Linked DNA regions of Drosophila melanogaster. The protein of the gene in region 1 interacts with the protein of each later gene in a pairwise test. Each region holds a gene or a part of one and is shown in the gene's direction. Other genes may lie near its edges.

Region 1 (9,828 bases):
GTCCTACTGTTCCCTAATAATTGGCTTTCCCATAGCCACCTTTTTTGCCCTGAAATTTGTGGTGCTCAAGAGCTATGCCCATATCAATGCCGATATTATTTCGACCATTTGCACCGTAGTTGCAGTTCATGCAGCAGTTGGCTTTTACATCTACCGAGCCATCTATGCAAAGAGTGTGACGGCCAAAAGCGCCAAAATATCTCTGTAAAATAATTGTATCTCCACCTTTCGACTATCTTTGATATGCCAATACATCACAATACTTTCTTCTGTATATATCTTGAACACTTCCTGCTTTCATCATGTGGCTGACATATTTTTCGTGAAAATTGTATTCGTATTCGCCAATGCGAAAAAATGCTACCCACGCGATGATTTCTGTTTTGGTTGAAAGCAATATGAGTTGGAAGCGCATTTCAGCCGTCACTTGTCCATCCCGCGATTGGGACTTCTTGACGGCCACATGTCCAGGGATTTGTGTTTGTGGGACAAAGAACGAATGCAGCCTAAGTTTTTTCCGCATGGAAAGTTTACGGTAGTGACATGGCCAATGCCAACTTTAAACTGCACAACGTGATCTTATTTATTGCCCATATCGACCGATTTTTGTCAGCTGCCATGACTTTGTCTAAATATCTTTAAAGTCTTTGACGACATGGAAAGGCAACAGGTGAAACTCGTGATTTAAGTACAATACTTACCATTTTTTTTTTTTTTTTGAGCACATTCACAACTCCAGAAGGCAGAATTTCTTTGGTGACAGTTCCATTTTTCATCTGCCAGTAGGAATTAGTTCATTTTGATGTTAATGCAACGTGAGAAGGTGACACCCTCTTGTGATGGGCAATTAAATGCTTCGGTAGCAATAATAAATGTCGTTTTATTGCCACATTTATGCGATGCACACGCGGCGACACTAACAAGGCAAAGAAATATCAAAAACAAAGGCCGGGCGAGAAATTCACATGTTTATTTGTTCTAGTTGAATGAACGTGTAACAACTTGCAGTTAGTATGCTATTGGCCCGAGCGCAGCTAGTTGACTGAGTAAACAAACAGAGTTGGCAGCAAGTAAACAAATGGCCCAGAGCAACAGGTAATTTCCGTACAGCATCCTCCAGGCGCATGTGCGGAAATTGCGTTAGAATGGGCCGATAAATAGCTATCTGAAATTCAAATAGCAAGCTTTAACTAGGTGCATTTTCTTATAACTAAAATAATCTAGTTGGATGCACTTTAAAACGAACAAACCAAACAAATAATATCTTTTCAAATTTAAAGTTAAAATTTAAAAAACCGTTAGAGCGCTGCCATATTGTCAAAAAGGATAAACGAATGGCAGCCTTGCACCATCGGTAGCGCCATCTAGCGTGCATCGGTAGATACCGCCACCGAATATTTAAATATTATATATAAATATATTTGTAGCTTAATAAATATTATTTTAGCATCTAGAATCCTTAGTATTTATATCAGAATCAGTTCATCCGAGAAATACCTATCACCGCATGTTCCATCTATCAATTTCTGCTTTCACTTAAAAGTTGCCTGGCGTGTGAATTCCTACTAATAGATAGCTCGAAAATAATAATAAGTCAAAATGTCGATGATATTCAACACGGAGTATGGCTACCTGGAGGCCCTAACGCGCGGATTCAAGAACGGCATGCTAAAGCACTCGGACTATCTAAATCTGACCCAGTGTGAATCCCTCGAGGACGTAATGATCAGCATCCAGGGCACGGATTACGGTCTCATCTTTGGTGGCGAACAATCAGCGCCGTCCGTTGAGGTGATCGAAAGATGCCTTAGGGATCGTCTGCTGCAGCAATACTACTACATACGCAGTCATTCGACGGAGCCGCTGACCACCTTTATGGAGTTCATACGATATCCGTTCATGATCGATAATGTGGCGCTTCTGGTCGCTGGCCTAAACAATCACCGATCCATGAAGCGTCTGCTAAGAATGTGTCATCCGCTGGGCGAATTCGATCAACTGGGCGCCATCGAAGTGGCCTCGAATTCTGCGGAGCTCTTCGACGCCGTTCTAATTGACACGCCCATCGCTCGGTTTGTGCCACGCGATTTGCCCATGGAGTCGTTGCGTTACCTCGACGTGGAGATTGTGCGTGCCCATCTGTATCGTGCTTATTTGGAGAAATTCTACGCCTATTGCAGCCAACTGGGCGGCAATACCGCCAACGTGATGACCAATCTATTGTCCTTCGAGGCGGATCGTCGGACCATTACAATAGCTGTGAACGCTATTGGCAGTGATATCATGTAAGATATCTGTGTTGCTATGAAATTCTTCATATTATACTCATAATGCCCACCTTCCAACACTCAGACCGAAGGAGCGTCTAAAGATGTTCCCCACCTGTGGCTACCTGCCCAAAATAGCCTTGGCCTCCATGTCCACTTTAAATGATACGGATAAAATAAGGGATGTTTGCAATGTGTTCGATGGCTATGGCAAAATGTTTGACAATTTGGAGCGCGACTCGGACGGCATGATTACGCTGGAGGACCGCTTTCTCATGATGGAGGCCAAGAAGAATGTGCAGACCTTCCTGCAGCAGTACCATTTCGGGATCTTCTACTCGTTCATTAAACTTAAACAGTTGGAGGTACGCAATATCGTCTGGATTAGCGAATGCATAGCGCAGCGACAGACGGACAGAATCAACGCCTTCATTCCCATACCCTTGGACTAGAAACGCTTTTGCTTTCCTTCTTCGAAATGTTTTCCCTTTGAAATGTGTGTTATAATATATAGGCGTTGTTATAAATAAAACACATGCATAACAATTTCGCATTAATTTTGGCGCCAAATTTGTTTCGTTTGCGTCCCGGCTAACCACCCATCAACTGGGGTGTGTGTATTTGCTAACCAATCGATATGGACGATGCCGACAAAAATTATCGATATCAATCGACTTAAGGCCATGGATGCCCGACGCACCGATGTTTTTTGCACATCACTAACAACGATGTTGGCAAATGAAACGAACAAGCTGCTGCTTTCCTCGCAGCAGGAAAAACCAAATCACTACACGTAAATAGATGCTAACTAATGCAAACGATGGTTAATTTGACGTGCAACCTTTCCGCCAACCGTTTCAGCTACCTGAAGGAGTTCCGCGTGGAGCAGTGCCAGTCGTTTTTACAGCACAAGTGCAACCAGCATCGCCCCTTCGTCTGTTTCAATTGGCATTTTCAAAACCAGCGTCGGCGTCGTCCAGTGCGAAAACGCGATGGCACCTTCAACTACAGTGCGGATAACTATTGCACCAAATACGACGAGACCACTGGGATTTGTCCCGAGGGCGACGAGTGAGTAGAAATGTTGTGAAATTCATAGTTTCTGATGGCCCGTGAAAACGCTGGACGGGACGATTGCAGTGGCGGAGGATGGATGAGACAGCAATAGCGAACGACGTTGTATTTTTTTTGTTTCCTCTTTGCGCTCTCCTTCCTTCGCGATGTGTGTGTATCTCTTGTCTTCGTGTTTACAAACAAAAACCATAGTGTGTTTGTGTGCAGGGGGGTGTGGTGGGGGCGGTGGCAGGGGCCTGGCGTTGTCTGGAAAGCCAAAAGTGAAATTGTAAGTGCGTATGTGGGCGTGCTGCTTGCTGTATCTCTGTGCATGTGTATGTGTGTGCAGGCGAGGTCACCACCGTGCAAAAGTGAAAGTGATTCCAGCTCTAGTGGGCTAGCAAATTCTTATCAGCATCCGTTTTGTGGTGGTTGTTGCTCTCTTGTCGCATGTATACATGCACAGACGCTCGCATACACACAGGTACGCACAAACAAACACACGCACAGACGTAGGGCATCGCTACAAGTGTGTGCGTCATTGTTTTTATTGCGTTTCGCTTTTGCGTGTTTTCTTCTTCGTTTATTTTGATTTTCCCCCGGCAGCTTCGAAATGTACAGTTATTGTGGCTGGCGAGCTTTGGAGAAAAGCTCTGTGAAGTGTAAGAACGGGCTAAAAGTAAAACGCAATTACGCTTTGCGAGAGACAACAACAATGTCTGTTTTTATGACCCAGACTCGAGGTCCAACCTCTGACCCCGACCTCCATTCTATCCATTTATCGTTGTAGTCTCCTTACAGGGTACGAAGGTGGAAAGAAAGCGGTTTTAGTTTTGAAAGAGAAATTTCTTTTACTTATTAAAGAAATACCCTCAAACATGTATTAAAATGATGATTTTGCTGTAAATGTACAACTTTGTTGTTTTTTGTTACGGTTCTTTTTAATTAATGGGTATCATACAGTCCATTCACTTAGCCTCGTCGCCTGCTTTGACGTCACTAAAACTCCCTTTCTCCCCATTTAGATGCCCCTACTTACACCGCACTGCTGGCGACACCGAAAGGCGATACCATCTGCGCTACTACAAGACATGCATGTGCGTCCACGACACCGACAGCCGAGGATACTGCGTCAAGAATGGACTACACTGCGCCTTCGCCCACGGCATGCAGGACCAGCGCCCACCGGTTTATGACATCAAAGAGCTGGAGACCCTGCAGAACGCAGAGAGCACACTGGACAGCACTAATGCTTTGAATGCCCTGGACAAGGAGCGCAATTTGATGAACGAGGATCCCAAGTGGCAGGACACCAACTACGTGCTGGCCAATTACAAGACAGAGCCCTGCAAGCGCCCACCGCGCCTGTGCCGCCAAGGATACGCTTGTCCACAGTACCACAATAGCAAGGACAAACGTCGCTCGCCCAGAAAATACAAGTACAGGTAAGATTTCCCCTGAATTCATCCTAAAGTCAGTTTTAAACCGCGATATACCATTGTTTTAGGTCCACTCCTTGCCCCAATGTCAAGCACGGCGAGGAATGGGGAGAACCGGGCAACTGCGAGGCCGGCGATAACTGCCAGTACTGCCACACACGCACCGAGCAGCAGTTCCACCCGGAGATCTACAAGTCGACCAAGTGCAACGATGTCCAGCAGGCCGGATACTGTCCGCGCAGCGTCTTCTGCGCCTTTGCCCATGTGGAACGTAAGTATAGAGGATTCGATGAGCTAATATATAGGACTCAGCGTTGTGCTCCACAACCAGTTGTTGTAGGGATGTGTTTAGGGCCAAGTTATGATATTACAGTTCTAACTTAATGTTTGTCTTTTACTCGCCTCATCCATCAAACCGCAAATCTGTTTCCAACTATCACTCAAATCCTTTGAAAACACGTACATCAATCAATGTTTGCTTTGCCGCTCGGTGTTGCTTGTCCATGTAACTACTCCCAATCCAAATAAAGCATGTTCAATTGACGAGAAGACGCGGGATCACACGGTATACCTAAACGAGCTTATTTCCAATGCCTATCCTGATTTAAAAGCTCAGGATGCGTTTCAAAGGGTCGATAATGTACGTATTACCGAAGCAATAACACTCATCCAAATAACGCCATCGATTTGCATCGCCTAAACCTAAACGTACTACCACACATCGTTTGCCGCTCTAATCCAGCTAACCATCATCAACTAACTGCTTAACACTTTCGATAAGCCATTTAATCATGTGTCCTGCTCTCCTCGATTTTTTTCTTTTCGTTTTGTTCTCTTAGTTGTTGAACATTGATGGTAATAGCACCAATAAAATGTTGGTAGACGCTTTGGAAAACACAACAAATTTCAGCAAATTTTTAAGTTTCTCACGACCCCTGGACAGTCGTTGTGAGTATCCCAGAGTCCTGACATGCGTACGTCTAAGTTATACACTAGAAATCAGTTCTTCGTTTTGGTTGTGGACAAAGAATGTCAGCGCTTAGATAGCAAATGTCGTGACCCCTAGCCTAACTGAAATTCAATAATTTTTTGTCTTCACTCTTTGCAAGCAGCTTGCTCAATGGACGATCCGCGCGAGAACTCATTGTCGGCGAGTCTGGCCAATACTAGCTTATTAACACGTTCCTCGGCGCCAATTAACATTCCTAATACGACTCTAAGTAACTCAATTAACGGTAAGTAGTCATCAACGTCCTATGAGTGCCAACTAATTGCTAATGCTAATACTCCATTCCATTTGCACAGATTTTAACTCAGGTAGCTTTGCCGTCAACATTCCCAGCAGCTCGCTCACCTACAGTCCCACCAACCATGCCAATCTCTTCAACGTGGACGCCTTCAACTATGGCGGCTCAAACAAACTCAGCAATTCCCTTTCGGCCACCCAGAACGATAGCAGTCTCTTCTTTCCGTCGCGCATCATATCGCCTGGCTTTGGCGATGGCTTGTCGATTAGTCCTTCGGTAAGGATATCCGAATTGAATACCATACGCGACGACATCAACAGCAGCTCGGTGGGAAATAGTCTGTTCGAGAACACTCTCAATACGGCCAAGAATGCGTTTAGCCTTCAATCTCTGCAGTCGCAAAACAACAGCGACTTGGGTCGCATCACCAATGAGCTGCTCACGAAGAATGCTCAAATTCACAAGTTGAACGGACGTTTCGAGGACATGGCATGCAAGCTAAAGATCGCGGAGCTCCATCGGGACAAGGCCAAGCAGGAGGCGCAGGAGTGGAAGGAGCGCTATGACCTAGCACAGATACAGCTAAATTTGCCAGCAGAGCTTCGGGACTTGTCCATACAGAAATTGAAGCAATTGCAGGTTAGTCGCTTAATTAATTTCCCAATTCCATGGGTTTTAACCTGCTACCATTTTAGTCCAAGCTGCGCACCGACTTGGAGGAGGTCGACAAAGTATTATATTTAGAAAATGCCAAGAAGTGCATGAAGTGCGAGGAGAACAATCGCACGGTTACTCTGGAGCCGTGCAACCACCTGTCTATTTGCAATACATGCGCTGAATCGGTCACCGAGTGTCCCTACTGTCAGGTGCCGGTAATAACCACCCACACCTAGAACATGTTTTATCAGCAACAGGACCACAAGTGGCCCTTTGGCTGAAAATCGGATAGGGATGGGAAAGGGGATTCCGATGGGATATGAATGGATCATGGGGATCAAGACCGCGAACAGCATGACAATGTGGTACTCACAAAGCAAACTTTAGTCTTAAGCAAAACGTTGAAACTTTTGAACAGTTAGGATTTGACACATGCCTACTAATTGTGCATGTGGCAGGGAATATATAATTTATGTTTTCAATCTACTCAAAATATGCAAATTATCGTCATGAATATTAGTAATTACTAGGCACAAACTATTAATTGAATTAGCTAGCTGCTCTAAACGAATAAGTATGTAATTTTATTTTTGTTTATTTTTTCTCATATCGAATCGAATACAGGAAAAAACATTTTAAATTGATTTTGTACTATGATTTATGTAACCAACTCTTTTAATTTTGTTTAATATTCAATGTTTAGGCATACATATTTTCTAATCTACTGCACGAATTTGCAATGTCTCATTTATTTTTTTTTTAACCACATATGTATCTCTATATTTGTATTTAAATATGCTACACTTTCAGTCATATTGTACTTTTCACTAGTATTACATAAGAAATTATGAGAACTAAACAATTACAAGATGTAATTGAATGAAAGATATATAAATATATAATATATTAATTTTTCTAGACACTTTTAGCAATTGACTATTAACAAATTTATAGAAACCAACAAATTTAACAATATATTGTCGCATAGAAGAGCAGAAAACAACCACAAACAAACAAATACCACCAGTGATTTTATATAAGCCGATTTTCAAACTGTATTTTTTATGTATGTGTTTCAAACTTGTGAATGCAAACTACAACTAAAAGCCAAGACAATGGTCATAAAATCAATGTAACTGACGGGTAATCAATATTAGTCAGTACTCAGCTTTTATTTTCCTTTTTCAAATGCACAAAAGTAATTATAGACGTTGAAACGAGAAGTAACTAAAGGCGACAACGCTTTTCCTTATCGAAAGTTCATTTCATTTTGTCTTATTGAAAACCAAGTTGAATGTATTAAAACACTTTGATTTTTGTTTAGGCCTTGGTGCAGCTCGTGTAAGCCAATGCCAATTAACCAGTCACAAAATTATCAACTTACGTATATAATCTATTAGGTTACTTTGTGATTTGAATAGTGCTTTAAGTACTTACTTTGCAGATGACTTCAATTTTCATTTTACTTTCATAGTCTCAACTGGACGCTTCCAAATTAGTAAAAGCATAAAATGAATCGTCAATGTCAAAACGTAGTATTTAAGTCATATTAAATCCAGCATTTGGCTGATTGTACAAGAACGAATATGAACAGATATATATTTATGGGAAATTTGAACGCAGATTCGATGAGTGTGATGTTGAAAGCATAAACAATAAAAGTAACTCGATACAGCGAAATGAACAGAGTTTAATGAAAATGTTAACCAGAGTTAATGTAAAACCGTCTTCAAAAACCATTGTATTTTTCTGCGAATTAAAATTATCAAACGTAATCAATTGGACAATGTTGAATGAAACTGAAACGTGTTGTTAGCTAGTTGAGTTGAATTGATAAAGATGTAATCAAAATGAAACTGTTCTGGGAATGAATTGAATATGAATATGAAATCAACATAGGCATTTATTTGAAACAAAAGCAACACTATGAATATATATATACAAATGAAAAACTGAATTATATTATTACAAAGCTAACTAGGAAAGGCAGCGCAAAGGCTCTTATCTCTGTGTGTGTTTGTACTATGTTTTGTAGAAGCCAAATCAGCAAGAAATACAAATAATTAATAAATATAACAATAAACAATTGTGTGTTAACTTATAAATGCTTTAATAGTTTATGATACAAGTGTACACAAAAAAACTAAAAATCACGAGAACAAACAATGAGAAAATTGGTTTTATAATGGAGCTGTTGAGTCGCAAATCTATTGTGTGTATTACCAAACTAAACTGAAAACTGAATGCATACCTCTCTCAGAATATCACTGACTCTCATCACCGGAGACACAGTTTGAAAGATTTGCTAATTTACTTTATGAATCTCCACGAGATGTACATGGGATGTCTATCGAACTACGCGTTTTTTCAACCCCATTCCAAAACAAACCAATGCAAAGCAATTTTACAACATGTCAAGAAATCCATTTCACGCCATCTCAACTGTGAAGAATCAAACAGAAACCAGATCGAAAAGTATATGTACGTTACATACATATATATTTATAGATGACACATGTATTTTGTATACGCTACTGTAAGAGTGATTTTTATGTGATTTTGAAACTACTTGAATATGTGATCCAGAAATATATAAAAAACAAAAAAAGAACAAAAAAAAAAACGCAAAATAATATTTATATATATAAACGCAAGCTAGCGACAGCAAACAGCAATATAACAAATCAAATTGTAAACCAACTTGACTTTATGTACAACAACAACAATGACGACAAAAAATATAAAATATGTTGTACAGCTCCAGCTCCATTTAGAAAACAAAAGGCAAGAGAAGTAGGATTTTGGTAGTGGAAGAGATATGGACACACGTAGCATACTTAACAAATTGTCAAAAACAAAAAACAAAAAAACACGTAGACCAGAACAACATCAAAATCTTAAGGATACAAAAAAGAACAAGTAAATAAATGTCTAAATTATCAAATTGAATTATTAGCTAGCTTATAGGGTTCTCAGTTAAAAATTTACCAGAGGAAATACAAACGAGTAACAAAAGCAAAGGCAATTACTTCTCTAGATCTAGAACTAAGAACAAATGTTTGCTACCAATTGTTTCAACTAGTTAATTCATAATAAATTAACAAATTGTAGAAAACTGTAACTGAAGGTTTAACAAGCATAGCGTAAAAAAAAAAACAAAACATG
Region 2 (4,152 bases), on another chromosome or scaffold:
ATTGTGACACGTCAATTATCTTCTTCTTCGCGACCCAGTCAGTGTTGCCAGCGTTGGCAGATGTGCATACACTGGGAACCATAAGTTTTCAAAAGTACACACATGAATATGAATGAATTATCATGCTCTCCAGTCTTCTTTATATAGTTAAATATACAGATTTTACGTGATATTTTTGAATATATTTAATCTTCGTCAATAATATTCGAAAATTGAGTTGGTAAATGTATTTCTACGAACACTTTTAGTGACCACTGTAATCGTAGTTTTACAGCACTGGACAAAGTGCATTCTATTCACGGTAACTTCGCTTTGTTTATTTTCTGTAATACCATGGAAAATATATAAATAAGTGACAAAGATGACACTGGCACACCGGGCGCTCTTCACTTGGTTTATCGTCCTGGTCTTCCTGATTCTTCTGTGTCTCCGCCTGGACCCACGCACCACCTGGAATTGGTTCGTCACCTTTACGCCACTCTGGTTCTTCGATGTGATCATTATCATCTACGTGATCATTAAATTTATCCGCAAGTGGCGGAACCTAACCTGCCTGACGGATCTCCTGTTCCTCTACAAATGGAACATTGCCGGCGTCCTGCTGACCATCGCCTCCCAAGTGATGATCTGCCTAACGCTGGAGTACCCGCAACAGATTCCCATATACGTGACCGTTGCCCCGGTCATCCTGCTGCTGAGCACCGCCATCTTCTATGTTGGCAGCAGGCTGGGAAAACGAGAGGGCTGGATACAGTAATATTAAGCATATATTGTAGGATTAGGTGTACATAAAGTGAAAACTCAAAAGCCGTATTTGCTTTGGGTGGCCCGACGGGTCTGCCGGTTGGCCGACCACATGGCCTGCAGCTCGGCTTCGTTGGCCTTCGCCTTGTGCGCCAGGTAGGTGATCTGGTGCTTGCGCCGAGTCCCTGCCACCGGCTCCTCGTCCGTCAGCACGCCGGTCGGTTGGAAGGTGGTGGACGAAGCCAGAGCCGATCGCATCCATTCCTCGCGATCAGGTAGCACCTGAGACCCAGATATGTCGATCACCTGCATCTCCTTGGCCTCCTTCCGCCGGCGCTTGGCATTTTTGCCCACCAATGCGTCCATGGCCTCTGCGTTTAACTGTTGCTCATGGTAGCGCTTTTGTGCAATCTGAGACTGCTCTTCCTGAAGTCGGGCGGCTTCTGCTTCGGCTGCTTCCTTCTCGGCTACCTCCTCTAGGTACTTGCTACTGGCTTCCACCATCTTGGCCGCTCGCTTGGCCACTAGAGCGCTAATCTCGTTGCTGCTCACCTCAGGCAGCTTTTGCTCGGAATTCAGGGAGAAAAAGTCTCCAGTGCCATCTTCGTCATCATCTTCACTATCGCTGGCATTTACCAGCGAAGTGGGTTTACTTATAGGTTTGGATTTTGTTGACTTCAAAGCGTCTTTTGTCTCAGGATTCTTCTTGTGCCCGGCCTTAGGGCCATCTACGCCTTCGGTGTTGTGTGCAGCTCGTCGCTGCTTAACTGTATCGGGAACAAAAGCTGGTGCTGCTCGAGGCTGCGCAGGATTATTGCTTAGACTGGAAGCAAGAGTAGTGCTGGCTGATGGGTAGGCTACCGCGGATGAAGAGTTCTTGGAGAAGTTGCGCTCCGACTTTGCTTGGGGCAGCAGACTCAACAATCCCGATCCCTTGGGTACATTGGGCTTATCAACTTTGTTCTTAGCCCTGTCAGCTTTCTCCTGGTCTACATCTGAGAAATCTCTTAGTGAAGGAATGCTGATTTTTACTTTTCCCTTGACTGGCGGCGGTGGAGGTTTCTCTATTTCTACGGGCAGCGCCTTTTTGTGCAGAAACTCATCGTCTTTCTCCTCTACAATGGCTTTTCCTTTCGCTGCTGTTCGTGGCATGGGCAGGTTGGCAAAGGCGGAAGTAACCTGGTTGTCCACATCCTCATTTTCCAGATCCTTAGCGGGAGCAGTGACTTTTGGTTTGGGTAAGGCTAATAGCAGTCTTCCGTTGGGCGGCTTTAACTCCTGAAGGGACACTTCCTGGGGAACGTAGTCGTCATCTTCATCACTAATGTGACCACTGGTTGATTCCCGAGCTAGATACGCTTCACTTGGTGTGCTCGGCTTGGCTTGGGGTTTTATTACTTCCACTTGTGGTACAGAATTTTCCTCTTCGTTCTCCGAATCTTCATCAGAACTGGCAGCATAAGCAACAAGCGACATGTTTATAAAATTGCTAAAGTTAAACAATACAATACACAACAGCTGTTTAATGTGCCCGGACTCTAGAGTTGTCACCTGCTTGGGCTGCCATGGTTGGCAACTCCCTTTGCTTAAGCGCTGTGCTAACCAACACTGTTAAAATTACCGCTAAAACGTAATTTCGAATTTAAACTTAAAATTATATAGTGCGTTCAATTCGTTCGTTTTATTTATGATAGCATTATACCTGCAATCCTCAAAGTATAATATTCGGAGCTGTAAAAACCCTACGGATTATAAAACAAACCTCAAATAGGATACTTATAAGTGCTATACCTGATCCTTATTGTGTCCAGATGGTTTCCATCCTTGATTACCAGGCGACAATTAGGGGATTCGTTAGGTAGCCCAATCGCTCCCGATTACCTGTTCTACAACTTTTTTTTTTTGTTTAAATAAGGCGGTCAATTTTAACATTGATCAGTACAACTATATCTTTCGGAGAATACAGTTATAACATTAGACATGCATCATCACCAGAATCTCGGAGACGCGGCCGCCATGAATGGAATGATCCCGCCATACGAAGCCATGGCTATGTACGAGCAGCCCAAGCCCAGATTCATCTTCAAGATGCCCCGCGTGGTGCCTGACCAGAGGTCCAAGTTCGATAGCGACGAGCTCTTCCGCCGATTGAGTAGGGAGAGCGAGGTTCGCTACACAGGATACCGGGAACGTGCAATGGAGGAGCGCAGGATGCGGTTTGTCAACGACTGCCGCAAGGGCTATGCGGAGATATCGATGGTAGCTTCAGGAACTAATCTGCAGCTCTACTTCAACGCCAACCACAATCCGTACGCCCAGGAGCAGGATTGCGATTTCGAGCGGGAGCGGGGCAAAGTTCATTTGCGTTCTAGTTTCATCATGAACGGGGTGTGCGTCCGCTTCCGGGGCTGGGTGGATCTGGACCGACTGGATGGCGCTGCCTGCCTGGAGTTCGATGAACAACGAGCCCAGCAGGAGGATGCTCAGCTGCAGGAGCAGATTCAAAGCTACAACCAGCGCATGGCTGAGTCCAGGAGAATCTACCACACGCCCCAGACTCCACCCGAGGATCACCATCACAGAGGTGGGCCTGGTCTGCCTAGAGGACCAATGGGATGGTAGTGCTATATATTACCCTCATAGCTTTAAGTAACATCTAAGTAAATCAACAATAAATATCTGAAACCCATTGATCGTGCTCTTATAATACTGAGATTATGTTTAATACACTAATGGTAATATCTGCTCTCAATTACTAAAACTCTCATTTCACAAGGAGTTTCCGAGTTTTGTGTGTCATTCATTTGGCGAAAGCCACTCATGTTCACCTAATGATTGTTTATCTGGGCCTCCTTAAGGGTTGCTAGCCGGGGTCTTTGGCCTCATTTGCGCCACTTTCGGAACAACCACCACCCGAGCCGACTGCCCGAGGATGGTGAAGTGGGTCCAGCTGCCGTTCCGCCATTCCGCCGTGCTCTCCACTCTCCGGGGTGGGCCTGTCGCGGCTGTGGCTGCGGCTGTCCTCTCTTGACTCTCGATGCGGCCAGAGCACCGGTCCCGTGAGCACGTATTGATTTTCCGCCATTCCGTTTGGGATGCTGCCGAAATAAACTTTGCAACTGCTCTGAATGTGAATCTGAATCCGAATCCGAGTCAGTCTCTTTCCGAACTGAAAGCGGAAAGGCGTCGAGTGAAAATGGAATAGGTGAAGGGAACGCCGCCGCGGACTAAAAATTCATAAACTTATACATACCGCAGCGATTTGAAAACTTGAAAACATTCGGATTGTGTGCCTCAATTTGCTGGTGGTCGCGTATTTTTCCGCATCGTCCGAATCGGCACGAAAAGCTAAGAGATTCGTCTAAAATTAGCGACCGGTGTGTTTTGGTAGGGTGTTGTATTGGCTAG

What was found.
Region 2: the proteins of unk (region 1) and Bro interact in a two-hybrid assay, tested with the Drosophila melanogaster proteins (one large-scale study listed by BioGRID).

What each region holds. Positions count from the first base shown.
Region 1 is NT_033777.3:23,151,011-23,160,838, reverse strand, and holds unk (unkempt), read left to right. Parts: upstream 1-2,976; 5' UTR 2,977-2,995; coding exon 2,996-3,060; intron 3,061-3,128; coding exon 3,129-3,338; intron 3,339-4,345; coding exon 4,346-4,765; intron 4,766-4,827; coding exon 4,828-5,030; intron 5,031-5,289; coding exon 5,290-5,399; intron 5,400-5,598; coding exon 5,599-5,707; intron 5,708-5,868; coding exon 5,869-5,994; intron 5,995-6,064; coding exon 6,065-6,645; intron 6,646-6,701; coding exon 6,702-6,899; 3' UTR 6,900-8,747; downstream 8,748-9,828. Other genes in the region: CG13829 (uncharacterized protein), read left to right, coding at 1-208; VhaAC39-2 (vacuolar H[+] ATPase AC39 subunit 2), read left to right, coding at 1,600-2,285, 2,353-2,719. UniProt on the Drosophila melanogaster protein: Essential for late larval/early pupal development.
Region 2 is NT_037436.4:1,645,181-1,649,332, forward strand, and holds Bro (brother), read left to right. Parts: upstream 1-2,688; 5' UTR 2,689-2,724; coding exon 2,725-3,366; 3' UTR 3,367-3,432; downstream 3,433-4,152. Other genes in the region: CG13919 (uncharacterized protein), read left to right, coding at 362-757; CG17249 (uncharacterized protein), read right to left, coding at 802-2,220. UniProt on the Drosophila melanogaster protein: Regulates the DNA-binding properties of Runt.